4 linked regions of the Anolis sagrei genome follow. The protein of the gene in region 2 purifies or fractionates together with the protein of the main gene of each other region. This does not show direct contact. Links are inferred from orthologs where the notes say so. Each region holds a gene or a part of one and is shown on either strand. Other genes may lie near its edges.

Region 1 (7,665 bases), on a different chromosome or scaffold from region 2:
AGTTATTGAGTTTTAAATGTAAATTTAGTTTAATTGCATGAGTATTTTTATTGTATCTTAACTTATATTCATGACACAAATATTGGGTTGTGTCATGTTATTGAGTCCCCATGGGGAGAAAGTTGGGATAGAAATAAAGCTCTCTCATATTCATTCATATTCATACACACACACACACACTTACACACAATAATATACTGTTTACCCCCCAAAAACAAGTAATTCTAAATGTCCAAGATCCTCTGAGGATTTCTGAAACAGTGGATAATAGTGAACCTAATGTTTTGACGATACTTGGAAACTGGAGGACCCACAAACACCTTGGGGTACAGTGAGGCTATTTTCTGGAGCCTGGGCAAGTGAAACTATGGATATTGGATCCATACTTGTATATGAATGCGAGGAAGAAGATGCCTTGAACTTCCAGCTTTCATAAGTCTCAATTATACAGCTAAATTACCATACTACAGAATACGTGTGGGCAAACTTTGGCTCTCTGGGTGTTTTGGACTTCAACTCCCACAATTCCTAACAGCTGGTTTGCCCATGCTTGCTGTAGAAGCTGTACTCCAAAACGCCTGGGAAAACTTGCTATGAATGGATCAGGGGGAAAAACCCTGCATGCCTTCTCTTAACTACGTGACACTTGCCCCAGTAATCTTTATTGAGAGCTAGCCAAGAAAGTCACTTATTCATTGGGCAAAACTATGATGCCAGAGGTCGAAGTGTGCAATGACTGGGCAAGTTGACGTCAGTGGTATATCAGATATGAGCTTACCATTGTAGTTGGATGACTGTAGGAGGGAGCAGACTTGCTTCTGACAATACTGTGTGAGGACACCGACGCTGCTGAGAGAGCCCCGCTCACAAGCAATGTGCAGAGGAGTGTTTCCTCGGAAATCTCTGATCTCTGGGTCACATCCGACTTTCAGGAGAGTCTCCGCGATCTCTGGCTGGTCCGTGATCACAGCCAAGTGGAGTGGAGTCTGCAAGGGCAAAGAATGGCCTGATAAGCAAAGGAATTCTACTAGACTTCAAACCCTCACTTCAAGCACCATTTCTAATGAGGAAGTGGTTAGATATGCATGATTGTTTGCAAAGACCTTGCAAAACTGCAACTCCCACAATTCCATAGCACTGAGCTACAGCAATTAAAGTGGTATCAAGCTGCATTAATTTTGTAATGAACCATCCCCAAGTTGAAGTCTGAGGTCCCTTCCAGCCAGGCCCTATATCCAAGGATCTGATCCCAGGTTTTCTGTTTATCACAGATTATTTGGTGAGGAGTCATATAATCCAGTTTAAAGCAAAAAACCTGGGATCGGATCCTAGGATATAGGGCCTGCCTGGAAGGGCCCCAAGTGTCTGGGATTCGTCTCTGAATAGCGGGCTCTTCCCACGAGCCTAGGGCAGTGATTCTCAACCTGTAGTCCCCAGATATTTATGGCCTACAACTCCCAGAAATCCCAGCCACTTTACAAGCTGTTAGGACTTGAAGGCCAAAAACATCTGGGGACCCTGACCATTGAACAAGCCGGATAGGGCTACTGCATGTTGGAGGTCCAAACAGCTGGAGGGTGCCTGGTGTAGATGAATCCAAATGGGCAACTTAATGGATGATGTCCCCTACTACCAATTCTTTTTTTTTGTTTGTTTACTTTGGGGATAACAGTTCAAGATCTGGTTTGCTGTGAGGTTTCCAGCCTGTATGGCCATGTTACAGAAGCATTCTTTCCTGACCCTCTATTCTGCCTTGGTCAGACCACATCTGGAATATTGTGTCCAATTTTGGGCACCCCAATTGAAGGGAGATGGGGACAAGCTGGAAGGCGTCCAGAGGAGGGGGACTAAAATGATCAAGGGTCTGGAGAACTAGCCCTATGAGGAGTGGCTTAAGAGCGGGGAATATTTAGCCTACAGAAGAGAAGGCTGAGAGGAGACATATTGAGGGTCATGTATAAATATGTGAAGGGGAAATCATAGGGAGCAGCCTTGTTTTCTCCTGCCCGCGGAACAATGACTTCAAACTACAAGAAAGGAGATTCCACTTGAACATGAGGAAAGACTTCCTGACTATGAAAGCTGTTCAGCGGTGGAACTCTCTGCCCTGGAGTGTGGTGGAGGTTCCTTCTTTGGGAGGCTTTTAAGCAGAGGCTGGATGGCCATCTGTCGGGGGTGCTTCGAATGCGATTTCCCATGGGGTTGGATTGGATGGCCCACAACATCTCTTCCAACTCTCTTAAAGTACCTGATTGAGGTTATTCTGGAAATTCAGGAAAGCCGTGTCTCGTTCCGCTTGGCGAATGATTTCCAAACTCAGGGACTTTTCCTCGTGAATAATTGCCAGATGGAGAAATCTGCAAATGTACAGAAAGAGAGAAAAAAAACATTAATTTTAAAAAAAAATCATTTTTATTAGCAACAATTTCAGAATAATAATAAAAGAGTGAAAATAGGAAAATAGGTAAAATAGAGAAAAATAAGTAAAACCTCCCCAAACATACCACATACCCAAATTCCCTAAGTGTTTTTAAAATAATCCCTGAGATCAGCTTTGTCAAAGGAAAGGAAGCACATAGACATCCCACATGTCAGGACCAGATGTTGAAAGCTTGGAGTTTCCAAGGCTCGCGCATGCGCCTGAGCGTGCATCCGGGTGTTTTCCGAAAGGAGAGGAGGAAGCAGTGTGAGAGAGCGCGGTGTCCCTGGCGCGCGGCCAGGGACTTTCCAGGCGGGCGCCTCGAGGACAATAAGCCACGCCCACCCCTCCCTGAAGCCCCGCCCAAAAGGAAGAATGGAAGGCTGGAAAAACCCAGCCTTGCAAAAAGAAAAAAATTCCCCAGGATTTTTATGTAACTGGAGGAGGAAAGGGGAAAAAACAAAGGAGGAGGAAGGAAAGAATGAACAGAAAGTGGGGAACTCAAGTTTGGGCAAAGTAGATCAGGTATGGGCCAACTTGGGCCTTGGAGGTTTTTGGACTACAACTCCCAGCATGCCTCACGGCCTCAGGCCCTTTCCTTTTGCCCCTCCGCCGCTTAAACGGCGGAGGGGCAAAAGGAAAGGGCCTGAGGCCGTGAGGCATGCTGGGAGTTGTAGTCCAAAACACCTCCAAGGCCCAACTTTGCAGAAACCCCTTCCTTTCTTCCCTGAGGACTTACGTGTCTCCATCTTCGGTCACTTGCTGCTTCCAAGCCGCCTGAGGAGCCGCCACGTCGGGGAGAACCGGCTGCAAACGGATGCCTTCCAGCTCCCGAACCAGATCTTCATACTCCTCATCCTTCATAGAGTCCAGGCCGCTGTCATGGCGGTCCTGGTCCAGCTGGCGCTCCTTCTTCGGGGCCTCCATGGCGAAGAGATCCACAGCAGGGCTGAGCATGTCGAGGAGGAGAGGAGAGAAATGTGCCTGAAGGAGGAGAAGCGAGAGAGAAAGGCGGGCGGGCGGGGCTGGCTCGGGCCTATAGCGCCTCGCCTGGAAGGGGATTTCTCGGCGGGGAGGAGCCTGGCGGCGGGAATTTCCCAGCCCAGCCAGCCAGAGAGGAATTCCCTCGGAAACTTGGTGCTTTTTTTTCCACACCAGGGAAAGTACTTCTCTTCTCCACGGCTTGTTATGTGACTCAGGAGAAGCCACCCCAACTGCCCCCCCCCCCTTGTCTCAATCTTTGCCCCTTGAGAAGAAAGACAAAACAAGGCCCAACCATTCCTTCTTGGGATTTTCCTCCCTATCTGTTTTTCCCCCCTCTAGTAAACTAATCTGGCCTTGGGTGGCATGTTATTTTCGTAGGGACACCCACAAAAGGAAGGGGATGGGGTGGCATTATTATTATTATTATTATTATTATTATTGGGTATTTATTTATCGCGTCAGGGGCAGACCAAACAGTTGCATTGCATTTTTTAACAAACAAACAAAACACAAAGTTTGCAAGCTTGGTAGTTGGTTAAATGTCCTTTCATAGAATCATAGAGTTGGAAGAGACCTCATGGGCCATCCAGTCCAACCTCCTGCCAAGAGGTAGGAATGTTGCATTCAAATCACCCCTGACAGATGGCCATCCAGCCTCTGTTTAAAAGCTTCCAAAGAAGGAGCCTCCACTACACTCCAGGGCAGAGAGTTCCACTGCTGAACGGCTCTCACAGTCAGGAAGTTCTTCCTCATCAAGTTTGCAGACGACACCAAATTGGGAGGGATAGCCAATACTCCAGAGGACAGGAGCAGGATTCAAAACGATCTTGACAGATTAGAGAAATGGGCCAAAACTAACAAAATGAAGTTCAACAGTGACAAATGCAAGATACTCCACTTTGGCAGGAAAAACGAAATGCAAAGATACAGAATGGAGGATGCCTGGCTCGAGAGCACTACGTGTGAAAAAGATCTTGGAGTCCTCGTGGACAACAAGTTAAACATGAGCCAACAATGTGATGTGGCGGCAAAAAAAGCCAATGGGATTTTGGCCTGCATCAATAGGAGCATAGCGCCTAGATCCAGGGAAGTCATGCTACCGCTCTATTCTGTTTTGGTTAGACCACATCTGGAATATTGTGTCCAGTTCTGGGCACCACAATTCAAGAGAGATATTGACAAGCTGGAATGTGTCCAGAGGAGAGCGACTAAAATGATAAAAGGTCTGGAGAACAAGCCCTATGAGGAGCGGCTTAAGGAGCTGGGCATGTTTAGCCTGAAGAAGAGAAGGCTGAGAGGGGATATGATAGCCATGTATAAATATGTGAGAAGAAGCCACAGGGAGGAGGGAGCAAGCTTGTTTCCTGCTTCCCTGGAGACTAGGACGCGGAACAATGGCTTCAAACTACAAGAGAGGAGATTCCATCTGAACATGAGGAAGAACTTCCTGACTGTGAGAGCCATTCAGCAGTGGAACTCTCTGCCCCGGAGTGTGGTGGAGGCTCCTTCTTTGGAGGCTTTTAAGCAGAGGCTGGATGGCCATCTGTCAAGGGTGATTTGAATGCAATATTCCTGCTTCTTGGCAGGGGGTTGGACTGGATGGCCCATGAGGTCTCTTCCAACTCTTTGATTCTATGATTCTATGATCTGCCTGTGACAAAGAACTAGTGGGATCACAAGCCTGAAAAAGTTACAGAAAATGAACACGTCAAACTACTCTGGGACTTCCAAATTCAGACAGACAGAGTTTTGGAGCACAATACTCTTGACCTCACATTTGTGTTAAAACCAAGTATGGATAGTTGATGTTGCAATCCCAGGCGACAGCAGGATTGAAGAGAAACAACTTGAAAAGCTGTTTCTAAATCCACAATATGAGGATTTAGACTCTGGCGCAAGCCAGTAAAGACTCTGGCGCAAGCCAGTAAAGGTGGTCCCAGTGGTGATTGGCACATTGGGTGCAGTGCCTAAAGACCTTGGCCTGCACTTAAGTACAATCCGCGCTAACAAAATTACCATCTGTCAGTTGCAAAAGGCCACCCTACTGGGATATGCACGCATTATTCACCAATACATCACACAGTTCTAGACACTTGCAAAGTGTCCGATGTGTGTCCGATGTGTGATCCAATACAACAGCCAGCAGAGTGATCTTGTTTGCTGTGGACACGTTGTGTTCCAAATAATAATAAACAACTGGAAATGCTGACATGATACGATGATTTAAAGATCGAACTGCAAAGATTGGCACAAGCCAGTAAAGCTAGTCCCAGAGCCTAAAGACGGAAGTTTCGGAAAGTTCTGACTTTCTTTTGGAAAAATTTGGAAGTGACTTTAGAATCAAACCACCAGCACCCCCTATATCCAAAAGGAGTTTTGAATCTTTTTTTTTTTTTTTGGAGCAACCAAGCCTACTATCTATCTATGTGTTACAAATACATCTCAGTGTACATCACAAAGTAACATAGAATATGGACCTGGCTGTGGCGCAGCTAGTTAGTTAGCTGCATAAAATTACTACTGACTGAGAGGTTCTGAGTTCAAAGACAGCCCGGGTCAGAGTAAGCTCCCAACCATTAATAGTCTAGCTTGCTGTCAACCTATGAAGCCTGAAAGACAGTTGCATCTGTCAAGTAGGAGATTTAAGTACCGCTTTTTGTGGGGAGGCTAATTTAACGACGCCATAAAACCTTCCTGCAGCATGCAGAAGAATTGGGAAGTACTTCATCAAAGGACCCGGTGTCACAAGTAGACAGTGAAGTGGCAGCTCCCCCTGTGACCGGAAACAAGCATACCCTCATGAAGCTGGAAACGCTGAAATGTTAAATTGCCTCTATGTCTATATATGTTGCATGTCTAAATGGCATTGAATGTTTGCATGTATATGTGCATTGTAATCCACCTTGAGTCCCCTTTGGGGTGTGAAGGGCGGAATATAAATACTGCAAATAAATAAATAAATAATATCTTATCAATAATATTGCAGCTTGCAAACATGAGGATACAGCAAAATTATATATATATATATAGAGAGAGAGAGAGAGAGAGAGAGAGAGAGAGTTTTCTATGTGGCAGCACATTGTTGGCTGTGAGTAGAATACAGATCAAACTGTCAACATGTATCAATTCACTTCAGTATAGGGCTTGGGCTTGGAAAATTGCATTTTATTGCATATCCTCAGCATGTTTTTTTAAATTCCTGTAAAATATGTCCAGTTGGAGTTGGTACCTTTTTGAAACAAACTTCACACACATATATGCACACACATGTATGCACGCACCTACACACTTCACCATTGCATGATTGCACAGATGAATATACTACAACATGCTGCAACATTTTTGATAGAGTGCCATTTATTTTTTGCTAAGACATTTGGTGCACATTTAAAAGGCATGATCAGATTTTATCTTCTCCCCCATGACTAGTTTTTAGAGACTGTAAAACAGACAGGGGCCCCATCTATATTTGATTCAGTTGCTAGCTAGCTTCAAACTCTGGCGTTTAGAAAATGCATGCTGATAAAGCATGCTGTAGCGTGCTTTAAGGACTTTAAACCAACATAAACTAAGTCAGGGGAAAGTCCAAAAGAAAGCCCTTAATGTGCATTACGGTATTCCAGTATAAACTCCATTTCAAAGCAAAATTGGCTCTGCAGAATGTGAATCACTGTGCAGGCACCCAAAGCACTCTGCTGATGTGAAGATGTGCATTCTGGTTGGGGATTTTTTTCTTTTAAAAAATCATTCTTAGGGGCTGTCAAACCATGGATCCTGAAACCGGTTCAAGGCCAGATTTGGTGGTTTGTATAATCACCTGGTCCTCAAGCTGATTCCAGGATTTCATATGTAATCATTGCACAATGAAATTGCTTTCTTCTATACCGTCTTGAAACTGACTTAAGTGGTCAGTGTAGATGAGGCCAGGGATTCAAGGAAAACATTAGTCTTTAGATGCTTGTAGCAACCATCCCATGCACGTGAGTCCAACATGGGGACAAAGTTTGCAGTGACAGCCTGGTTTATTTAAAAACTGTTTATGCTGCATTTCCTTAAACGCTTGAGGCAGCAGCTTTGGGTTTGCTTCAGCTTTTTGTCAGGCATAAATAGTTTAAGTGAAGCACGACAAGAAGCTGGAACTCTATGTCTTTGGAGATTAGATTACTGCCTAAGAATAATGTGTCTGTGTGTGTGTGTGGGGGGGGGGGGGGTTCCTTGGGTTTTTTTTTTTCCAAGTATGGAACTTTCCAAGTGGATTCTTT
Region 2 (8,026 bases):
ACGGAATGTTGAAGGACAGGAAAAGAGATTGAAAGATGGGCTCAAAGCCAACCTTAAAAACTGTGGCATAGACACCGAGAACTGGGAAGCCCTGCCTGTTGAGAGCTCCAGTTGGCGGTCAGCTGTGACCAGCAGTGCTGCAGAATTTGAAGAGGCACGAATGGAGGGCGAAAGAGAGAAATGTGCCAAGAAGATGGCGTGTCTAGCCAAACCCAACCGGGACCGCCTTCTACCTGGAAACCGATGCCCTCACTGCGGGAGAAGATGCAAGTCAAGAATAAAGCTCCGAGGGCACCTACGGAAACAACGCCAGGACACTACTCTTGGACGACCATCATCCTCGGACTACGAGGGATCGCCTAAGTAAGTAAGTAAGAGAGAGAGGGGCGGCATACAAATACAGTAAATAAATAGTAATTAAATACTGTACTGATTTGTTTTGCTGTAGGTTGTCCCAAGTCCCTTTGGGGAGAGGAGGCGAGATACAAATGAAGCTTATAATGCTTATTATTTGGTTGCTGTAGGTTTTTTTCGGGCTATATGGCCATGTTCTAGAGGCATTCTCTCCTGATGTTTCGCCTGCATCTATGGGTGGTGACAGTCTTGTTGAGAAGGAGACGACTTCCTAGTAACTGAATTCCCAAACCTGGGTGAACATTGCTCTGAGAAGACTTGTAAACAATTGGACTTTCTACCTCTGAAGTGTGATGCATGTGAAGATGTCTTCTGTAAAGACCACTTTGAACGGACAAGCATCCTGAGCTCTGAGGATTACCTGGGAAGGAATCCCACTGGAGCATTGCAACACACCCAAATCCCTGGGAGTAATCTGGACCGTGCTCTGACCTACAAGAAGCACTGCTTAAACATCAAGCAAAAAGTGGGTGCTAGAAATAATATAATACGAAAGCTGACTGGCATAACCTGGGGATCACAACCAGACACAGTGAAGGCATCTGCCCTTGCGCTGTGCTACTCTGCTGCGGAGTATGCATGCCCAGTGTGGAACACATCTCACCACGCTAAAACAGTGGATGTGGCTCTTAATGAGACATGCCACATTATCACGGGGTGTCTGCGCCCTACACCACTGGAGAAACTACACTGTTTAGCCGGTATTGCACCACCTGACATCCGCTGGGAAGTAGCAGCCAATAGTGAAAGGACCAAGTCAATGACATCTCCAGCTCATCCCTTGTTTGGGTATCAGCCAGCACGTCAACAAATTAAATCAAGAAATAGTTTTCTTAGATCTACAGAGACACTTGCTGGAACACCTCAGCAAGCGAGAGTCCAAAAATGGCAGGCTCAAACCCAATGGCTAATACCCATTGAGAGACTCCCTCCTGGGCACACAGAAGACTGGGCGAGTTGGAAGGCGCTGAACAGACTGCGTTCTGGCACCACGAGATGCAGAGCCAACCTCAAGAAATGGGTCTACAAAGTGGAATCCACGACACGCGTGTGTGGAGAAGAGCAAACCACTGACCACCTGCTGCAATGCAACCTGAGCCCAGCCACATGCACAATGGAGGACCTCCTTGCGGCGACACCAGAGGCACTCCAAGTGGCCAGATACTGGTCAAAGGACATTTAATCAACTACCAAGCTTGCAAACTCTGTGTTTTGTCTGTTTGTTTATTTGTTTTTGTTAAAAATGTAATACAACTGTCTGTTTGCTGATGACACGGTAAATAAATAACCCCCATCTATTTCAGGCATCCTCAGAAGTTGTGAGGTCTGTTGGAAACTAGGGAAATTGGGTTTATATATCTGTGGAATGATGTCCAGAGTGGGAGAAAGAACTCTTGTCTGTTGGAAGGGAGTGTAAATGTTGCAATTGGCCACCTTGATTAGCATTGCCAAGCCTTGTAGCTTCAAGGCCTGCCTGACTCCTGCCTGAAGGAATCCTTTGTTGGGAGGTGTCAGCATATTATTTGAGAACAAGGAAATGCGGGACCACTCTCAGAACCACTGGCCACCTGCTGCAATGCACCCTGAGCCCTGCCACATGCACAATGGAGGACCTTCTTGCGGCAACACCAGAGGCACTCCAAGTGGCCAGATACTGGTCAAAGAACATCTAATCAACTACCAAGCTTGCAAACTTTATTTATTTATTTACTTACTTACTTTATTTGTATACCGCACTATCTCAGCCCGTAGGCGACTCAGTGCGGTTTACAACAGGTCAATATACAAAGTGCAAAGCATTAGCATTAACATTTAAACAATAACTAAAGCAACTAAAACAATACAACGACACATCAGTAAATCAACATGACATCAATACATCCATATAACTAATCCAACTCACTGCTCACTGGAAGGAAGGATACTAGAGACAAAGTTGAAGTACTTTGGCCACATCATGAGGAGACAGCAAAGCCTAGAGAAGACAATGATGCTGGGGAAAGTGGAAGACAAAAGGAAGAGGGGCCGACCAAGAGCAAGATGGATGGATGGCATCCTTGAAGTGACTGGACTGACCTTGAAGGAGCTGGGGGTGGTAACGGCCAACAGGGAGCTCTGGCGTGGGCTGGTCCATGAGGTCACGAAGAGTCGGAGACGACTGAACGAATGAACAACAACAACAAATCCAACACGTCTCATCAGTAAAGTCATAATCCGATCTCCTCGTCCATTATTCCAAGTTCCAAATTCCAAGTTCCAAACTCAGTCAATTGATTGCACTACTTAATTGAATGCCTGTTCAAAGAGCCAGGTCTTCACTCTTCTCCTGAACGCCAGCAGGGAGGGGGCCGATCTAACGTCTGCGGAAAGGGCGTTCCACAGCTAAGGGGCCACCACTGAGAAGGCCTTGTCTCTCGTCCCCGTCAGCCGTGCTTAATGTCCTAACTGGTTCATAGGGGGTGATGCGTTCGGACAGATAGGTCGGGCCAGAACCGTTTAGGGCTTTAAAAGCTAAAGCCAGCACTTTGAATTGTGCCCGGTAGCAAATTGGCAGCCAGTGGAGCTGGCGCAACAGAGGAGTTGTATGCTCCCTGAGTGCCGCTCCTGTTAGCATCCTGGCTGCCGATCGTTGGACCATTTGTAGCTTCCGAGCCGTCTTCAAAGGCAACCCCACGTAGAGAGCGTTGCAGTAATCTATACGGGATGTAACCAGTGCGTGGACTACCGTGGCCAAGTCAGGGTTTTGTCTTTGTGTTTTGTCTGCCTGTTTGTTTGTTTTGTTCTGTTAGAAATGTAATACAATTGACTGGTTGCCCTGACACGAGAAATAACTAAATAAGGCCTCATTTGGCCCAGGCCTTTTCCAGAGAGTGACAGCCTTGCCGAGTCATCCTCGCCCCAAGAATCCTCCTCGCCCGACGGAGAAGACAGAGAAGGGCTGAAGAGGCACGAACAGGGACACGGAAGATCCTCGAAGGTCCCGGGCTCAGGCTGCCTCGCAAGAAAGGCCGACTAGGCCCCAAAAGCCCCCTTTCCCTCCCTCAGAAGTAACACTTACCCTCAGTTCCGCCTCAGCCGGTATCCAAAATGGCCGCCACTCCCCGCGCAAGCGCACTGCGCTAACTATAGAGAGGGGGCGTGGCTTCGGACAGAGCGTTCGTTCCTCGGAAGTTCCCATTGGCCCGCTACGTTACTTCAGACCGGACTTCCGTGTCGCCAGAAACGCCATGATGAGTGTGGGCATTTGAGATCATCCTTCCCATCTAAAGTGCATCAGATCTTGCCAGCAAGGAATCAAAGCTGCAGTAGGCTGGATCCCATGTATTTCTGCAGTTTCATAGATTCCATGTATTTTAATTTATTTTCACTCTTTCTAATCTTGTGTTTTGATCCCATTTCAATATTTATATTTACACATTTTAATTTTAATTAATTTTATGCTTAATAATTTGTAGTTATGTAGTTTCATAGATTCCATGTATTTATGTATTTTAATTTATTTTCTCTCTTTTTAATCCTGTGTTTTAATCCCATTTCAATGTTTATATTTGCACATTTTAATTATAATTAATTTTATGCTTAATAATGTGTAGTTATGTAGTTTCAAATATTCCATATATTTATATATTTTAATTTATTTTCTCTCTTTTTAATCCTATATTTTAATCCCATTTCAATGTTTATATTTAGACATTTAAATTTTGTGCTTAATAATTTGTAGTTATGTAGTTTCAGATTCCATGTATTTGTGTATTTTAATTTATTTTCACTCTTTTTAATCCTGTGTTTTTATCCCATTTCAATGTTTATATTTACACATTTTAATTTTAATTAATTTTATGCTTAATATTTGTAATGTAGTTTCATATAATCTATGTATTTGTGTATTTTAAATTATTTTCTCTCTTTTTAATCCTATATTTTAATACCATTTCAATGTTTATATTTACACATTTTAATTCTAATTAAATTTTTTTGGAATATGTTTATTTAGAAGATATTGCTCTTAGAGGAGCTGATAGAAGAGAAATGTATTAGTGCAAAGAGACAATACAAACAAACATACGAACGAATAAACAGACATACGACTGAATACAATACAATGATTAATCAATAACAACACTTACCAACACCAACAATTATTCCCCGAGTAAATTTTAAAATACTTCCAGGTTTTGCTGGTCAGGCACCGGGGAGTAAACTATACTTTAATCCCCTTTTCTTTTCTGTTATCTATATTAGTAATGGTGTAATCGCCAGTTTCCTATTACTTTACCTTCAAGTTTCATTAATGTATAGTACTAATATATATCTCATTATATAGCCCTTTTATGCAATACAGAAAGCCCTCCCAGTTAGTCCTAGGGGGTTTTGCTATGCTCTGCGAGATTTTATGGGTGAGGATGTCCATATTCATAATATCCCATATTTTCAGTAACCATTGCTCCACAGTTGGTGCCTCCTTGGATTTCCATATTCTAGCTACCACTATTCTTGCAGCAGTGGTGAAGTAAAAAAAAAAAAGCTTTTCTGTGTTCTTATCCTTAATGGAGTCAATTCTAATTAATTTTATGTTTAATAATTTGTAGTTATATAGTTTCATAGATTCCATGTATTTGTGTATTTTAATTTATTTTCACTCTTTCTAATCCTATGTTTTAATACCATTTCAATGTTTATATTTACACATTTTAATTCTAATTAATTTTATGTTTAAAAATTTGTAGTTATGTCACTTCTCAACAAAAGTTTGCTCCAGGCACTGCCAGGCCATCAAATGCTAATCAAGGTGATCAGTTGAAACATTCACACCTAGCTCCAGCAGACAAGAGTCCTTTGTCCCACCCTGGTCATTCCACAGATATATAAACCCATTTTCCTAGTTCCAACAGACCTCACTACCTCTGAGGATGCTTGCCATAGATGCAGGCGAAACGTCAGGAGAGAATGCCTCTAGACCATGGCCATATAGCCCGAAAAAACCTACAAGAACCCAATAATAATAATAATAATAATAATAATTCTTTATTATTTACACAACAGGATTAGTACACAGCAAACAAGAACACTGTTGGCTTTTGTATTGGATCCCACGTCGAACACTTCCCAAGTTTCTAGGTCTGTGTGATGTTTTCATTCATTCATGGCCATAGATTACAATCCCAAGAATGCCCAGGAAATTTATTGCAAATCAGGTCCGCAACTACAGGCTTGTGAAAGTCAATTCAGGTATCGTAAGCCTTTGCGGTCTCAAACCAGATCTTCTCAACGGCCTCTTGGCCCATCTCAGAGAGAGTCATCAGGTGCTTCCACCCCGTCTTGGCCGTGATCATCAAATAGTCCTTATTCTCAGGGTGCTGGAGACTGGTGTGGGCCGCCATCACAAGGGACTGGACGAATCTCCCGCTGACCAGCAGGAAAAGGGCGGCCCGTTCCTCCGGGGTCAAAGGCACCACGCTCTCGAATCCGGCCAAGACGTGGCCTCCCACGCGGATGGGATCCTGGCTTTCGATCATCATGTACATGATGGCGATGGCCACTTCGAAGACGAAATAGCCATAACTCATGTCGCAGAAGTCCAAAATCCCCGACACTCTGTATCTTGGCTTTCCAGGGGAAGAGGAATCGGCTTCTATTAAAATATTGTGGTCGTTGAGGTCACCGTGATTGATGCCTAAAGGAACGAGAAGGAAAACCCAGGTAGAAAATTCATTGATTTGCAAAAGTAGAGGTCGATAAAGGTGGTTTGGGATTGCTTTAGAGTTGCAATGAAGTGCTCAAGTGGTTTTCGTGACTGATAGGAATATATTATTATATTTATTATATTTATCTATAATAATTGCCCAAGTGGTTTTCATGACCACTTGGGGTCATGAGGATTTAATAATAATAATAATAATCATCATCATCATCATCATCATCATCATATCCCAAGTGGTTTTCATGACTGAGTGGGGATTTAATAATAATAATAATAATAATAATAATAATAATAATAATTGCCCAAGTGGTTTTCATGATATTACTGAGTGAGGATTTAATAATCATCATCATCATCATATCCCAAGTTGACTTTCATGACTGAGTGGGGATTTAATACTAATAATAACAATAATGATTGCCCAAGTGGTTTTAATGACATTACTGAGTGGGGATTTAATAATAATCATAATCATAATAATCTTAATCATTATCATCATAATATCCCAAGTGGTTTCATGATTGGGGATTTAATAATAATAATAATAATAATAATTGCCCAAGTGGTTTTCATGACATTACTGAGAATGTAATAATAATAATCATCATCATCATCATCATATCCCAAGTGGTTTTCATAACTGAGTGGGGATTTAATAATAATAATCATCATCATCATATCCCAAGTGGTTTTCATGACATTACTGAGTGGGGATTTAATAATAATAATAATAATAATAATAATAATATAATTGCCCAAGTGGTTTTCACGACATTACTGAGTGGAGATTTAATAATAATCATCATCATCATCATATCCCAAGTGGTTTTCATGACTGGGGATTTAAAAATAATAATAATAATAATAATAGCCCAAGTGGTTTTAATGACATTACTGAGTGGGGATTTAATAATAATAATAATAATCACCATCATCATCCTATCCCAAGTGGTTTTCATGACTGAGTGGGGATTTAATAATAATGATAATAATAATAATAATAATAATAATAATAATAATTGCCCAAGTGGTTTTCATGACATTACTGAGTGGGAATTTAATAATCATCATCATATCCCAAGTGGTTTTCATGACTGAGTGGGAATTTAATAATAATAATAACAACAACAAAAATAATAATAGCCCAAGTGGTTTTCATGACTGAGTGAGGATTTTAATAATAACAAGAATATCAACAATAATTTTCAAACTGTACTTAATGTAATACCGTTTTACTGTATTACAAAAACAGTTTTATTAATGCAAATTTAGTTAAATAGCAGTTAAAATAGATTTTATTCCAATTTTATTTGAAGTACTTAAGATTATTATTGCTTGGATATATTTTTGGATGCATCTACACCAGGTGCAGGCAAACTTCAGCCTTCCCGGTGTTAACATTCCTACCGGCTGTTAGGAATTGTGGGAGTTGAAGTCCAAAACACCGGGAGGGCCGAAGTTTGCCCAGGCCTGATCTCCATTATGGAATGAATGCAATTTGACAAGGCTTGGACTGCTATAGCTCCGTGCTATGGATTCCAGGAAGTCTAGGGAGGCACCAAGTAAAGACTTTGTCAAACTCCCATCTCCAGTGATGTCATAGCATTGAGCCATGGCAGTTAAAGTGGTATGAAACTGCATTAATTTTACAGTATAGATGCACACTTTGGTATTTTCGGACCAGAAGCTTGTTCTGGACAGGAATATATCCTCTCCAGATATACCAATAATTGTATCAAAGTGCTTAAAACCACTTACAAGGCCGAAAGGAGCTTAATTTTGGCACGATTTTGGCGTCAAATTGCTCTATCACCTGCTTCACCACGTCTAGGTAACTGCTCTGACCCAAGGCGCGAATGTACCGCTTCAGGAGAGGGACGTTGGCCAGATTCCAGATGAATTCCCCTCGGT
Region 3 (8,416 bases), on a different chromosome or scaffold from region 2:
CAAGTCACTTCTCCTGTGAGATAATTGGCTGACTGCAAGGATGTTGCTCAAGGGACACCCGGATGTTTGATGTTTTACCATCCTTGTGGGAGGCTTCTCTCATGTCCCCGCATGGGGAGCTGGAGATGACAGAGGGAGCACATCCGAGCTCTTCCCGGATTCGAGCCTCCAACCTGTTGATCTTGAGTCCTGCTGGCACAAGGGTTTATCTCATTGTGCCACTGGGGGCTCCCCTAACTAAGCTCAAGGGGGGGGGGGGGGTTATCTTACTACCATCAATCATTTGGATGGTGTCCTGAAGTCCTTAAATGGAAAGCAGGTGTCATCCTGCCTAAACTTTTTTCACTCATCGTAAACCCTTTCCAGCTCACCCCCCCCCCCCAACTAACAAAATGCCCCCCTTTTGGAGGGGGGTTTTGAAAGGAGACCATGCTCCTCTGAGGACTAAATCCTGCCCTAACTTCTCCTCACCCCACAGCCACCCACAAGATCACCCTCCAACTTTTTGGAAAGGTGGGTTCTGGAGCTTTTAAAAAATAAAAATTCCCCTTGTAAGGCTTGACCTTGTCCCAGCCTTCTTTATCCTGCCACAAAATCTTTCCTCCTCTTTAGCAGGCATGGCCAGTGCCCTTCCAGACCACTATCACACCTATCCTCAACTCTTTTGGAGGGAGGGGCTTCTGGAGTCTCTCCACCTGCCCTCCTAGCCCATCCATGGGCCACTCACATGCCTATCCTGGACCCTTTTGGATCGAGGGAGAGGGGAGGGGCTTCTGGAGCCCTTCCCAAGCAAACCTTCCCCCTTTTAAGACTTTATCCAATTTCAGGAGTCTTTCAAAGTAACCCTCTTTAGGGCTTCATCCTGCCTCCACCTGCCCTTCAGGGTCAGTAACATGCCTATCCTCAACCCTTTTGGATGGATGGATGGATGGATGGATGGATGGAGGAAGGGAGAGTGTGGGCTTCTGGAACCTTTCTCAAAACAAACCTTTCCACTTTCAAGATTTCTTCCAATTTTGGGAGTCTTTCAAAGGAACCGTCTTTAGCAAGTATGGACAATGCCCTTCCAGCCAACTAACACACCTACCCCCAGTCCTTTTGAATAGAGGAAGGCTGGGTGGGCTTCTTGAGTCTTTCAAATGAACACGTGACCCTATATAGGCCTTCGTTCTGCCTCCACCTGGCCTTCGAGCCCACCCCAGGGCCACTCACACACCTATCCTCAACTTTTTGGGATGGAGGGAAGGAGCGTAGGGGGCATCTGGAGTCTCTCAAAGGGACACTCAAACCTCTTCAGGGCTTCATCCCGCCTCCACCTGCCCTTCCAGCCCACCCCAGTACCACTCACACACCTATCCTCGACCCTTTGGGATGGAAGGAAGGGAGTGGGGAGCTTCTGGAGTCTTTCAAAGGGACACTAACTCTCTTCAGGGCTTCATCCTGCCTCCACCTGCCCTTCTAGCCCACCCCAGGGCCACTCACATGCCTATCCTTGACCTTTGGGATGGAGGGAAGGGGGGGAGTTCTGGAGTCTCTCAAAGGGACACTCAACCCTCTTTAGGGCTTCATCCTGCCTCTACCTGCCCTTCTAGCCTACCCCAGGGCCACTCTCACGCCTCCTTTGGATGGAGGTGGGGGGCTTCTGGAGTCTTTAAAAAGGACATTCAACCCTCTTTAGGGCTTCATCCTGCCTCCACCTGCCCTTCTAGCCTAAAACAGGGCCACTCACACACCCATCCCCAACCTTTTGGGATGGAGAGAAGGGGGTGGGGGGCTTCTGGAATCTCTCAAAGGGTCACTCAACCCTCTTTAAGGCTTCATCCCACCTCCACCTGCCCTTCTAGCCTACCCCAGGGCCAATCACACGCCTCCTTTGGAGAGTGGGGGGCTTCTGGAATCTCTCAAAGGGACACTCAACCCTCTTTAGGTCTTCATCCTGTCTACACCTGCCCTTTTAGCCTACCCCAGGGCCACTCACACGCCTCCTTTGGGATGGAGGGAAGGAGAGTGGGGGGCTTCTCACACGCCTATCCCCTACCCTTTGGGATGGAGAGAAGGGGGGGGGAGTTCTGGAGTCTCTCAAAGGGAAACTCAACCCTCTTTAGGGCTCCATCCCGCCTCCCCTTGCCCTCCTAGCCCACCCCAGGGCCACTCACACACCTCCTTTGGGATGGAGGGAAGGAGAGTGGGGGGCTTCTGGAGTCTCTCAAAGGGACACTCAACCCTCTTTAGGACTTCAGCCTGTCTACACCTGCCCTTCTAGCCTACCCCAGGGCCACTCACACACCTATCCTCAACCCTTTGGAATGGAGAGAAGGGGGGGGGGGAGTTCTGGAATCTCTCAAAGGGTCACTCAACCCTCTTTAGGGCTTCATCCCACCTCCCCCTGCCCTCCTAACCCACCCCAGGGCCACTCACACGCCTATCCTCAACCCTTTGGGATGGAGGGAAGGGGGGAAGGTTCTGCAGTCTGTCAAAGGAACACTCAACCCTCTTTAGGGCTCCATCCTGCCTCCACCTGCCCTCCTAGGCCACCCCAGGGCCACTCACACACTTCCTTTGGGATGGAGGGAAGGAGAGCAGGGGGCTTCTCACACGCCTATCCTCTACCCTTTGGGATGGAGAGAAGGGGGGGGGGAGTTCTGGAGTGTTCCAAAGGGACACTCAACCCTCTTCAGGGCTCCACCCCGCCTCCCCCTGCCCTCCTAGCTCACCCCAGGGCCACTTTGGGTGGGGTGTGGGGTGGGGGTGTCCTTCTGCCACTCACGTGGAGAGCTTCCTGGTCCAGAAGAGTCCCCCTGGCCAGAGCTCCTGCAGCTGTACGGCCCGCCCGAGGCTGAGCTTGATTTGCGCCAACAGCAGGCCGGCCTCGGCCTCCAGGCGCTCTCCGTAGGGCAGCAGCTTGTTGTAGACCAGCTCCTTCTGCCAGGCCGCTCCGGGAGGCCGGGGCCCGCTCCCGAGGCCGGCCATGGCTGCGGGGCGACGGCGGTGGAGGGCGACGAGGAGGACGACGAGGAGGAGGAGGCGCCTGCCTGCCTGCCTGCCTTCTGGCCGGCTCGGCTCCTGTCACAGCGGCGCCTGGTGACGAAGGAAGCCACGGAAGCAGCGAACCAACGACCGCCGGCCTCGCGCTGGAGGGGGCGGGAGGGGCACAGGTCACTTCCGGTGAGGGAGGGGAGGGGAGGGGAGGGGGGAGGAGGAAGTGGAGGGGGGAACTGGAGGACACGCCCACACGGCCATGCCTTGCCTGAGGTGCCTTTGGATTACAGCCTCTCCTCTCCCGCCTGAGGGAAGCTTAAGAGGCTGAGGGGGGAAAGGAAGGAAGGGGCCTGAGGCTCCAAAACATTTGGAGGGAGGGCCCAAGTCGGCCCATAAAGCCATTGTCCTCCCAATGCTGTGAAACGCCTGCAAATATGGACTGTCTACATTGTCACACTCCTAGAACGATTCCATCACTGTTGCCTGTACAAGAACGCCAATATGCTGATGATAACACACTCTGTGCTCATACAGAAGAAAACCTACAAACCACTCTAAACGCCTTTGCAGATGTTAGGGGAAACTACCCGAAAATATAGCAGAGTATCCAAAAATAGAGGGAGAAACCGTGGAGGCCGTGACAGACTTTGTATTTCTAGGTGCAAAGATGACTGCAGATGCAGACTGTGGCCAGGAAATCAGAAGACGCTTACTTCTTGGGAGGAGAGCAATGTCCAGTCTCGATAAAATAGTACAGAGTAGAGACATCAGACTGGCAACAAAGATCCGCCTAGTCAAAGCCATGGTATTCCCTGTAGTAACCTACGGATGTGAGAGCTGGACCTTAGGGAAGGCTGAGCAAAGGAAGATCGATGCTTTTGAGCTGTGGTGTTGGAGGAAAGTGCTGAGAGTGCCTTGGACTGCGAGAAGATCCAACCAGTCCATCCTCCAGGAAATAAAGCCCGACTGCTCACTGGAGGGAAGGATATTAGAGACAAAGTTGAAGTACTTTGGCCACATCATGAGGAGACAGCAAAGCCTAGAGAAGACAATTTTGCTGGGGAAAGTGGAAGGTAAAAGGAAGAGGGGCCGACCAAGGGCAAGATGGATGGATGGCATCCTTGAAGTGACTGGACCGACCTTGAAGGTGGTGACAGCCGACAGGGAGCTCTGGCGTGGGCTAGTCCATGAGGTCACAAAGAGTCGGAGACAACTGAACGAATGAACAACAAATCCAAAAACAAATGATAATAATAATTGAAGTCAATAATCAGAAACTTCCCAAAGCACAGCAGACAAAGAGTCAGTACAAGAAAACTGCACTCCAAACCAGAGCGGACAGCTGGCACAACAAAGCCTTGCATGGGCAGTTCCTTGACAAAATTGAAGGAAAAGTTGACAAGGAGAAGACCTGGTTATGGCTCACGAAGAAGGAGACAGACGGCCTGATTCTTGCAGCCCAGGAGCAAGCCATCAGAACCAATGCAATTAAGGCCAGGATTGAAAAATCAGCAGATGACCCAAAATGCAGACTGTGCAAGGAAGCTGATGAAACCATGGACCATCTCCTAGAATCATAGAATCAAAGAGTTGGAAGAGACCTCATGGGCCATCCAGTCCAACCCCCTGCCAAACAGGAATATTGCATTCAAATCACCCCTGACAGATGGCTATCCAGCCTCTGTTTAAAAGCTTCCAAAGAAGGAGCCTCCACCACACTCTGGGGCAGAGAGTTCCACTGCTGAACGGCTCTCACAGTCAGGAAGTTCTTCCTAATGTTCAGATGGAATATCCTTTCTTGTAGTTTGAAGCCATTGTTCCACGTCCTATTCTCCAGAGCAGCTGAAAACAAGCTTGCTCCCTCCTCCCTGTGGCTTCCTCTCACATATTTATACATGGCTAACATGTCTCCTCTCAGCTTTCTCTTCTTCTGGCTAAACATGCCCAGCTCTTTAAACCACTCCTCATAGGGCTTATTCTCCAGACCCTTGATCATTTTAGTCGCCCTCCTCTGGACACATTCCAGCTTGTCAATATCTCTCTTCAATTGTGGTGTCAGATTCAATTTCTTTTCTAGTCAGACATGGCTTCTTGTGATATATCCATGGTACAATAATTTTGGCATCTAGGGGGGCCACTCAGGCTTAATATGAAGGAGGCACTACATAGGGAGGAAACGTAAAATCTCCACACAAACCCACACCTGTGAGGAGAAACTGAGAGGTAGGAGAACACTGGGCTTGACCCACTCCCACACTGCCGTTCCTTTCCCTTGTCTGAGGTGTCTCTAAATTATTAAGCCTGAGGGCAAGGGAACTGTTTTGTCCTTGTCAAACACCTTCATCTTCATCATCACAACATGTTCTTTGTTGCCATCAGCTCACTTTAACTTATGAATGAGAGACTTCCAAGTCATCTGCTCCTCAACAGTGCCATGCCCTTTCCTTGTGTCATGTCTTCAGATTGTTAAGCCTGAGGGCAAGGGAACTGCGCTTTTTTCTTGTTGAACATCCTGTACAGTGTTGACGTTGTGTAATTAGTTTGTCATCTTTATCATTACCACACATTCTTTTTTTGCCTTTAAGTCAACTTTGGTGCTCCTATAAATGAGAGATCTCCAAGAAACCCTTTCCACTACAACTCACCTGAGGTCTTGCAGACTCAGAGCCATGTACAGAACTATATGATAACCAGCAGCCCTCCCTCCATGTTTACAGATATTATTTTTGAGGATTTGGTTATTCACGGATTTGATAAAATATGTTCATTCTAGGAATCTAACCCCACCGAATGTGGAGGACATACTGCAATTTGCCATCATCCCCTTCACCATCTGGAACAGACTAAGCACTTGCCTTTCACCACTCTATTCAGAGAAGAGGAGGGATCCTTTTTTATAAGAGCTCAGGTACAGTATTCACATTGGATTTTAAACTAAAATGTCTAGACTTATACATTAATATATAGAGTAATTATCATTACTGCGTGCTTTTTTTTGTTGTCAGCTGATTTCAAGTTGGCTTTGACTTAGGGCACCTTATGGATGTTAGATCTCCAAGTTAACCTATTGTTCTGTTGCACGCTGGGCTTGAAATAAATTGCTTTTAAAACAGGACGTGTAACTTTAGCCCAGTGGGAAGCCAGGGGGTCCGAAGAGAAATTCATAAGGATTTTCACCACAAACAGTCTTTAGAGGGTTTGTGAAATATAACAAATTCTTTTATTGGTGAACAATCAACAGAAACTTCCTTTGTCTTCAAAAGGTTAAACAAATGCTTCCAGGCCTTTGTGCAACTGGTGGCTTCTAACTGTTACTTTTACTCTAAGGAAAATCCCTTTCCAAACTTCTCCCAGGTTGACTGTGAACCTAAACCTAACTGATGTGGGCGCCACTACTGGGTTGAATGCGTCTCAAAGCACCAAGTGGGCCTACCAGTAGGCCTGTAGTAACTTCAGCTGGAGTTCTTAGATATTCAAAGCTGCTTTTCCCTCCAAAATTCCTCAGAGCTTTAGGGCTGTTTCCCTGGAAATCTTTGGGAATCCTTTTGTTCTTAAGACTGTTCTCCCCCGGGAAGTCTTAAGGGTTGAAGCCTTTGTACAGGAGAAGTCTGTACACACGTCCTGTACATTGGCTAACCTAGCTGAGACTGACTGAAAATGGCTCCCTTCCCTTCTCAATTGTCCTGAACAGGGGGCAGAACCAAACTTAACGATGAGGGACAGGGGGCCTGCCCTATAACTGCAAACTTTAACAGGAAGCCACCCTTCTACAGAATCCCAAGCCTTGGGCTACAAGCAAACACTTAATACAAGGCAAATAAAGTGGGAGCTTCTGGTACAGCTGTACCAGCACACCTATCCTCAACAGCCCTGCTATTTATACAAAATGCAGTATATGAGATTAAACAACCAAAAAATTAAAAACCATATTAATATTTCATTTTTGCTTGTTTACATCATTGGAGAGGCTGCACTCCATGAAAGCTGATGCCAAACACAAATGTATTGGCCTTTTAAGGTGCCACTGGACTCAGGTATTTTTGCTAAGGCAGATGAAGAGTCCACAAAAGTTGTGAAAAATTAAATTTCACCTCTATAAACAACACTTTGAATCCAAACTGGGGTAGAAGTTTTATAGGCTGCCTACAGCCCTTTCTACATTGTCCTTATATCCCAGGATTGATCCCAGGTTTTCTTCTTTGAACTGGATTATATGAGTCTTCACTGCCACATAATCTGTGATAAACAGATAATCTAAAATCAGAACCTGGGATATAAGGACAGTGTAGAAGGGGCCTAAGAAAGTTGCTAAACCTTACTTACTTACTTACTTACTTACTTAGGCGATCCCTCATTGGCCAAGTAGGATGGTCTTCCAGAATCAGTATTCTGGTGGGTCCGTAGGTGACTGTGGAGCCCTATTCTCGATCTGCATGTTCTCCCACAGTGAGGGCATTGGTTTCCAGGTGGAAGGCGGTCTCAGTCGGGGTTGGCTTGACAGGCCTTCCTCTTGGCACATTTCTCTCTTTCGCCCTCCATTTGTGCCAATTCAAATTCTGCAGCACTGCTGGTCACAGCTGACCTCCAGCTGGAGCGCTCAAGGGCCAGGACTTCCAAGTTCTCGGTGTCTATGCCAGAGTTTTTAAGGTTGGCTTTGAGCCCATCTTTAAATCTCTTTTCCTGTCCACCAACATTCTCTTTTCCGTTCTTGAGTACGGAGTAGAGCAACTGCTTTGGGAGACGGTGGTCGGGCATCCAAACAACATGGCCAGTCCAGCGGAGCTGATGCCGGAGGACCATCGCTTCAATGCTGGTGGTCTTTGCTTCTTCCAGCACACTGACGTTTGTCCGCCTGTCTTCCCAAAAGATCTGCAGGATTTTCCGGAGGCAGCGCTGATGGAATCGTTCCAGGAGTTGCATGTGACGTCTGTAGACTGTCCACGTCTCGCAGGCATATAGCAGGGTTGGGAGGACGATAGCTTTATAAACAAGCACCTTGGTATCCCTACGGATGTCCCGGTCCTCAAACACTCTCTGCTTCATTCGGAAAAATACTGCACTCGCAGAGCTCAGGCGGTGTTGTATTTCGGTGTCAATGTTGGCTTTGGTGGAGAGGTGGCTGCCAAGGTAGCGGAAATGGTCAACATTTTCTAATGTTACACCATTAAGCTGTATCGCTGGCATTGGACAGGGATTGGCTGGTGACTGCTGGAACAGCACTTTGGTTTTCTCAATATTCAATGACAGGCTGAGCTTCTCGTATGCTTCTGCAAAGGTGTTTAGAGTGGCTTGTAAATCTTCTTCTGAATGCGCACAGACAATGTTGTCATCAGCATACTGGAGTTCTATAACAGATATTGTTGTAACCTTGGTTTTGGCTTTCAGTCTGCTGAGGTTAAATAGCTTGCCATCTGTCCGATAGATGATTTCCACTCCG
Region 4 (7,832 bases), on a different chromosome or scaffold from region 2:
AATCAATTTTTGCAAATGTAAAGACTGGTGAAGAAGGAAGATAAAGAGCAGAATTGTGTACTATGCATTGTGGCTGAATGAATTGCAGTTTGAGCATCCCTTATCTGGTCATCCAAAATCGGAAATTATCCATAGGGGTGATCTGGGATAGTAAGTGACGCCTTTGCTTTCACATGGTTTAATGTACACACACTTCATTTCATTCTCAAAAATTTTAAAACGTGTCTAAGGTCATCTTTAAGCTAAGTGTAGTAAAACAATCAATAACGTTTCTGCCTCCAGTGGCACAGCAGGTTAAATGGCTGAGCTATGAACTTGCTGACCGAAAGGTCGGCAGTTTGAATCTGGGAAGCAGGGTGAGCTCACACTGTTAGCCCCAGTTTCTGCCAACCTAGCAGTTCGAAAACATGTAAATGTGAGTAGATCAATAAGTACCACTTCAGTGTGAAGGTAACAGTGCTTCATGCAGTCATGCCAGCCACATGACCTTGGAGGCGTCTACAGACAATGCTGGCTCTTCAGCTTAGAAATGGAGATGAACACCACCCCCAGAGTCAGACATGACTACACTTAATGTCAAGGGAAACCTTTACTTTTATCATTATGTTTGCAAGCACATAAGGAGAAGGACAAATTAAATATTCAGCATTATAAATGAGCTCAGAACATGGAAATGACTGCTCCTTTGGGTTTATATCCTTTTGAATTTATAACGTCTTTTAACATTTTTATCAATTTGAGAACTTTTTGTCTTGTATTAGTTGAGTTACATTGTATTGTTAGTTTTTGTTTAATTAGGTGGTAATGTCTTGTTATTGCTTACGTTAAGATTTACTATGTCATTTTAAATTTATGTCATGTCATATTTATTGATTAGTTGTATTACACGGCATTTGAATACTGTCATTTTATGTTGTGAACAGCCGTAAGTCCCCATTGGGGCCATAGGGCGGGATACAAATAAAGTTTATTGTTATTATTTGAAACCTTACCTTCCTCCTTCCCCAGCCTCTACATTGGAAGCAATTGATTTTCCTTCTTGTTTCAAATAGATGTCTCGTTTAGACATGTGTCCCATTCTCAGGGTGCTGCTACACCAGGCGTGGGCCAACTTGGGCCCTCCAGGTGTTTTGGACTTCAACTCCCACAATTCCTAACAGCCTCAGGCCCCTTCCTTTTCCCCCTCAGCCACTTAAGATCAGGCCTGGGCCAACTTGGACCCTCCCTCCAGGTGGTTTAGACTTCAATTTCCACGATTCCTAACAGCCTCAGGCCCTTTCCATTTCCCCCTCAGCCACTTAAGTGATCCAGTGAATGAAAACACATCCTGCATAGGGTTGTTGTATGTTTTTTCGGGCTACATGGCCATGTTCTAGAGGCATTTCTCCTGACGTTTCACCTGCATCTATGGCAAGCATCCTCAGAGGTAGTGAGGTCTGTTAGAACTAGGAAAAAGGGTTTATATATCTGTGGAATGACCAGGGTGAGACAAAGGACTCTTGTCTGCTGGAGCTAGGTGTGAATGTTTCAACTGACCACCTTGATTAGCATTTGATTGCCTGGCAGTGCCTGGAGCAATCTTTTGTTGAGAGGTGATTAGATGTCCTTGTTTGTTTCCTCTCTGTTGTTGTGCTGTTCTAATTTTAGAGTTTTTTTTAATACTGGTAGCCAGATTTTGTTCCTTTTCATGGTTTCCTCCTTTCTGTTGAAATCCACATGCTTGTGGATTTCAATGGTTTCTCTGTGTAGTCTGACATGGTGATTGTTCGAGTGATCCAGCATTTCTGTGTTCTCGAATAATATGCTGTGTCCATCCTGCATATCATAAAAGGAAAAGAATGGGGCCTGAGGGGGAAAAGGAAGGGGGCTGGGATTGTTAGGAATTGTGGAAGTTGAAGTCCAAAACACCTGGAGGGCTCAAGTTGGCCCATGCCTGACCTACACTGTGGAATGAATGCAGTTTGGTACCACTTTAATTGTCAGAGCTCAATGCCACGGAATCCTGGGATTTGTAGTCTGCTGAGGCGCCAATACTTTTTTTGGCAGAAAAGGCTGGAAAGCTTATAAAACTACAACTCCCATGGTTCGATATCTTGGAGCCATGGCAGTTAAAGTGAGGTTGGAAATGCATTAATTCTTGTTATTGTTTAATTGTTTAATTTAATTGTTTGAAGCAATTAATTTAATTGTTTAAATGTTTATTTAATTGTTTATGGAGCCCCTGGTGGCACAGTGGGTTAAACCTGGGTGCCGGCAGGACTGAAGACCGACAGGTCGCAGGTTCGAATCCGGGGAGAGGCGGATGAGCTCCCTCTATCAGCTCCAGCTCCTCATGCGGGGGCATGAGGGAAGCCTCCCACAAGGATGATAAAAACATCAAAAATCATCCAGGCGTCCCCTGGGCAATGTCCTTGCAGACGGCCAATTCTCTCACACCAGGAATCACTCCTGACGCGACAAAAAAAAATTAATTGTTTAATTATTGTTATTGTTTTTATTGTTTCTACTGTTTTTATATGGCTTATGTTATATGTTAATGTTTTTAATTATATTTTATGTTGTTGGGGGCATTGATTGCCGACTGTAAACCGCCTGGAGTCATCGTCGGGCTGAGAAAGGCGGTATATAAATGTGGTAAATAAATAAATTCTCATTTAGACGGCGACCTCACTGTACCTCAGAGATATCTCATGACTATATTTGAGAACCTTCCAAAATTCATTTTAAAAACCCTCAAATCCCAAACACTTGTGGGCCCGAGCATTTCGAAGAAGGGATGCTCCACCCAGTGGTTCTCAACCTGGGGTCCCCAGATGTTTTTGGCCTTCAACTTCTAGAAATCCTAACAGCTGCTAAACTGGCTGGGATTTCTGGGAATTGTAGGCCAAAAATATCTGGGGACCCCAGGTTGAGAACCACTGGAGGCGAACCAGGACCGGCCATGTCTCCGGGGCGAAAAAGAAACCATCTCCGGCGGAATGCCCACATTTCCCTCGATTGGGGCTTCACCCCACCCACCTCCTTTGCAGGCCCCCTCCCCTCACAGGTGTATTTATGTGGACTCACTCTCACCCCTCTTCCAGCCCCTCCGCTTACCATCTTTGCACAGTCACTAGGCACCAAGGACTTCCTTCCGGCTGCGAGGAGCGATGGGAAGAGGCGCGGTGACGTAAGCACGCCCCTCCCGCGCGCATAGGGAGAGAGAGAGAGAGTGAGTGAGTGAGAGTATCACGTGACAAGGATTCGGGCAAAAGAAAACGAAGAGCCCGCTTTCTCCTTCTGTGCGCGCGAGAGGCAGGGGGGCGGGGCTTGGAGGCGTCGTGCGCCTGCGCACTTGGGGGACCCTGATCTGAAAAAGGGAAGGAGGGTGGAGGGGTGGAGAGCAGAGCTTTGCTGCAAAAGTTTTAGAGCTCTTAGAATCAAAGAGTTGGAAGAGACCTCATGGGCCACCCAGTCCAGCCCCCTTCTGCCAAGAAGCAGGAATATTGCATTCAAAGCACCCCTGACAGATGGCCATCCAGCCTCTGTTTAAAAGCTTCCAAAGAAGCTCCTGGGCAGAGAGTTCCACTGCTGAACAGCTCTCACAGTCAGGAAATTCTTCCTCATGTTCAGATTGAATCTCCTTTCTTTTCTTTCTTTTCCTACTTCATGTCATTGACTGTGAAATCCATGCAGTCCGACATCACTGTGACTGCCATTGGAATTGAAGGAGCCCCCGGTGGCGCAGTGGGTTAAAACCCTGTGCCGGCAGGACTGAAGACCGACAGGTCGCAGGTTCAAATCCAGGGAGAGGCGGATGAGCTCCCACTATCAGCTCCAGCTCCTCATGCAGGGACATGAGAGAAGCCTCCCACAAAGATGATAAAACATCAAAATCATCTGGGCATCCTCTGGGCAATGTCCTTGAAGACGGCCAATTCTCTCACACCAGAAGTGACTTGCAGTTTCTCAGGTCGCTCCTGACACGACAAAAAAAATGGAATTGAAGAGTTCCAAGGTCTTTAATCTTCCCTGCCAAATGTTGGCACCTCACCTCACCCACCTGACATCCGCCGGGAAGTAGCAATCAATAGTGAAGGGACCAAAGCAGTGACATCTCCAGCTCATCCCCTGTTTGGATATAAGCCAGCACATCAATGAATGCATTTTCTCAAGTCGCTCCTGACACACACACACACACAAAAAGCCCAGAAGAAAACCAGCAGGCAATTGAGCTGCCACAGCATGGGAGTTGGTTTCTCCCTGAACGATGCTCCAAGTAGTAACCTGGCTGCCAATTTCTGGACCAGCTGAAGCTTCCAAACTATCTTCAAAGGCAGCCCCACAAAGAGAGTGTTGCAGTAGTCCGAATGGGATGTGACTGAGGTGTGGACTACCATTGGCCAAGTCAGGTGTCTCAAGGTACAGGTGCAGGAAGAAATAGCTTCCTAAGATCTACAGGGATATTCCCAGGAACACCTCAGCAAGCGAAAGTCCCAAAATGGCAGGCTAAAACCTGGAGCCTCAATCAGTGGCTGATACCAAATGAGAAATATGGGCACATAGAAGACTGGGTTACTTGGAAGGTGCTGAACAGACTGTGCTCTGGCACCACGAGATACAGAGCCAACCTTAAGAAATGGGGCCACAAAGTGGAGTCCATGACATGTGAGTGTGGAAAAGAGCAAACCACAGATTTACTACAATGCAGTCTGAGCCCTGCAACATGCACAATGGAGGAACCCCTTACAGCAACATCAGAGGCACTCAAAAGCGGCCAGCTTCTGGTCAAAGAAAATACAGTATAATGCCAAGTTTTTAACTTTATTTGTATTTTTTTATACATTTCAACTGTATTCTCAATTCACTTCAGACACAATAAAAAAGTCAAAATCAGCTACCATATAAAGAATTTCAGCCTGTGCTCAAGCGTTTTCACTAACCCAGTACATGGTTTGGGAATTCCTAATTCAGAAATGTCTCAATTTTATTTATCTTTAAAAGGCATGTAGGAAATGCGCAAATGTAATAATGATCATGTGCAATGTGATATTATGGATTGGTGCCCTGTCCTTTTATGATTTCATATAAGCGCCTTAAGAAGGCTTTATGAGCACCCATGGACTGGAACGTTTTATGAGCAACTTAAGACATGCCTCTTGTTTCTTCTGTAAGGTCACCACCGACAATGCCAAAAAGGATTGTCAGAGTAGAAGGAAGGGCCAGGTGTTTGCGAGGAGAAAGCACTCACAATTTGACAATTTAATGACTTCTTTTGGAGTCTTTTCTGGTCTTGGAATTACATGGATGAGGGTTGCTCACCAGATCCTCCTCCCTCCTCGCTTTTATGCTAAAAATATTTGTCTGCCTCAGTTCTGCAAAGATGGTAGAAAAATGCTCTGAAAATAATTATTTATTTGTTCGTTTGATATCCTTGGGTACACTTTATCTGGTTCTGGCAGCATTTGCAGCTTTAGAGCAGAGCTTTCTAAACATTTCACGTTGGTGGCACACCTTTTTAGACATGCATCATTTTGTGACACAGTTATTCAGTTCTACTAACAACCCAGAGGTTAAACCAACCATGTATAAGAGATACATACATAAATTGTAATAAAATGTGTGGAGACTCATCATATCTCATGAGAACTTTTCATTTACATTTAATTTGTTGTTTATTTGTTCAGATGCTTCTGACTCTCCGTGACCTCATGGTAAAAGGTCTAGAAACCAAGCCCCATGAAAAAGGATTGAAGAGATGGATAATTTAAGCATGGAGAAGTTTGACATATAATTTGATTGCCATCTTTAAAAGCTCTATAGAAAGTTTCTATAGAAAGTTTCTATAGAAAGTTTAATGTGTTGTCCATTAGATCCCTATTTTAAAGAGCATCTCCTCTGCTGTTATTTTATATTTTATATAGTGATCTGTTATAGTATTCTATATGTTATCTGAGGAGAAGGGCCAAGGATCCTACCATGCTACAACTTTTGCAATAGCACCAAATAGAATCTGAATGACAGTTGACATTACAATCATTTCCACATTTGCAAATTTGATTATTCATGGATTTGTTTTTCTAAGAATCTCGAGTTCCTCCATTGTGACTTTATGGTCAATTACTTCCAGTCATGCTGGAAGACAGGGGCCTCATCTACACTACCTTATAATGCAGTTTGAAACTGCATCATATGGTCAGTTTTAACTGTGTTATATGGGTTAACACTGCCCATATAACATTTCAATCTGCATTATATGGCAGCGTAGATAGGGCCCCAGAGATTTCTATTATTATTATTATTATTATTATTATTATTATTATATCCTTCAGGAAGGAAGAGGGGCCAACCAAGGGCAAGATGGATGGATGGCATCCTTGAAGTGACTGGACTGACCTTGAAGGAGCTGGGGGTGGTGACGGCCGACAGGGAGCTCTGGCGTGGGCTGGTCCATGAGGTCACGAAGAGTCGGAGACGACTGAATGAATGAACAACAACAATCCTTCAGTGCAATTCTATGGTCAGTTTTCAGCAGATTTGGCCATTCCTAGAAAAGAATTCTCTCAGGTTAAAAAAAAAGCAATGCTTTATTTGTGGTTATATATATATATACATTTATTACGGCCAATGACCAGCATAAAAAAGGTACAAGTGACAGGGTGTGCAAGTGTCAGAGTACGCACACATGTACAAGCACAAGTACAGAAGTATACAAGCATCAGGTTACACACACATCCGGGTATCAGGAAGCAATGTTAAAACAGAGTTTAAAACCCAATATTGAATATGGTAATTAAAGTGGTGTTAAACATTCAAATACTAAGATATGAATGATAAAATATATGTTAAAACTTTCTAAGTCTGTGTCAGCATCTTGGGGCAACAAGCCATAGCTGCTGCACAGAAGCTAGCAATCCTGACAGTGACCTTGGGGTGTTAGTCAGACAGGAGATAATCTGTATAAAATCTTGCAGATCTCCCTGGTAGACTTTCTAGAATTGGATTTATAAAATGTTTACGAAGGTCACGGTAAAAAGAGCAGTACAACAAAACGTGCTTCACAGTTTCCACTGTCTCGTCCTCACAGGACATAGGCGTTCATTGTATGGTACTTTGTTGTATCTCCAATACAACAGTGGTTTTTCACTTTTACAGGGGCCCTGTGTTCCTAACCCCAGCAAATGGGGCCTTTTAAAAGAAGTTTTGTTGAATGGAGAAGGGATAATTTTGTATCATTTTTACATGTACTGGTATTTTTAAAAGAAATGTTTTTTACACTTTTGCCATTCATTTTGCTATTTGTGTATTTATTTATTTATTTGCTATATTTATATCCCACCCTTCTCACTCCAAAGGGGATTCAGAGCGCCTAACATATAAGGCACAATTCAATGCTACACAACATACATCGAGCAAATAAATATATACATTAAAAACTGCTAAAAACGTATCAAACATTAAAATCCAGTTATTAAAATCACGTAATTCAATATCAAAATCCAAGGCCATTCCAACTGTCATTGTACCATTCTGCATTCACATCTTGTATCCTGTTATCTTGTATCCTGTTATGTTTGCAACAATGTATAGCTATAAGTAATAAATAGTCATATGTTAGTTTGGTTTAGTGCTGATAATTTCATACATTTTTTTCTTCTGGACAGTGCCACTACACAGGAACTTAACTTTTTAAAAAGTTTATCCCGTTCTATTTTATTTTTGAAAGAAAAGTATAAAGTTCCTGTTTAGCAGCAGTGTGTTGAAAAAAAAATCAGGATTGTCACTGAATATATTTATTTACTAAATGTTTGAGTTTGTCGATCAGGATATGAAACATTTACATTTCAAAGTCA

Evidence for each region.
Region 1: the proteins of PSMA4 (region 2) and NFKBIA purify together in Homo sapiens (affinity purification with western blotting; 3 studies listed by BioGRID and IntAct, with this or other methods). This does not show direct contact. The link is inferred for Anolis sagrei from reciprocal best matches to the Homo sapiens genes PSMA4 and NFKBIA.
Region 3: the proteins of PSMA4 (region 2) and PSME4 purify together in Homo sapiens (affinity purification with mass spectrometry; 4 studies listed by BioGRID and IntAct, with this or other methods). This does not show direct contact. The link is inferred for Anolis sagrei from reciprocal best matches to the Homo sapiens genes PSMA4 and PSME4.
Region 4: the proteins of PSMA4 (region 2) and POMP fractionate together in Homo sapiens (co-fractionation; 4 studies listed by BioGRID and IntAct, with this or other methods). This does not show direct contact. The link is inferred for Anolis sagrei from reciprocal best matches to the Homo sapiens genes PSMA4 and POMP.

The regions. Positions count from the first base shown.
Region 1 is NC_090021.1:301,262,096-301,269,760, forward strand, and holds the start of NFKBIA (NF-kappa-B inhibitor alpha), read right to left. Parts: upstream 3,468-7,665; 5' UTR 3,377-3,467; coding exon 3,159-3,376; intron 2,358-3,158; coding exon 2,249-2,357; intron 987-2,248; coding exon 779-986; intron 1-778. UniProt on the Homo sapiens protein: Inhibits the activity of dimeric NF-kappa-B/REL complexes by trapping REL (RELA/p65 and NFKB1/p50) dimers in the cytoplasm by masking their nuclear localization signals.
Region 2 is NC_090029.1:11,847,695-11,855,720, forward strand, and holds the start of PSMA4 (proteasome subunit alpha type-4), read right to left. Parts: upstream 3,561-8,026; 5' UTR 3,473-3,560; intron 1-3,472. Other genes in the region: HYKK (hydroxylysine kinase), read right to left, coding at 5,640-6,088, 7,874-8,026. UniProt on the Homo sapiens protein: Component of the 20S core proteasome complex involved in the proteolytic degradation of most intracellular proteins. This complex plays numerous essential roles within the cell by associating with different regulatory particles.
Region 3 is NC_090021.1:17,251,793-17,260,208, reverse strand, and holds the start of PSME4 (proteasome activator complex subunit 4), read right to left. Parts: upstream 3,135-8,416; 5' UTR 2,971-3,134; coding exon 2,768-2,970; intron 1-2,767. UniProt on the Homo sapiens protein: Associated component of the proteasome that specifically recognizes acetylated histones and promotes ATP- and ubiquitin-independent degradation of core histones during spermatogenesis and DNA damage response.
Region 4 is NC_090023.1:31,782,277-31,790,108, reverse strand, and holds the start of POMP (proteasome maturation protein), read right to left. Parts: upstream 3,207-7,832; 5' UTR 3,100-3,206; coding exon 3,097-3,099; intron 1-3,096. UniProt on the Homo sapiens protein: Molecular chaperone essential for the assembly of standard proteasomes and immunoproteasomes. Degraded after completion of proteasome maturation. Mediates the association of 20S preproteasome with the endoplasmic reticulum.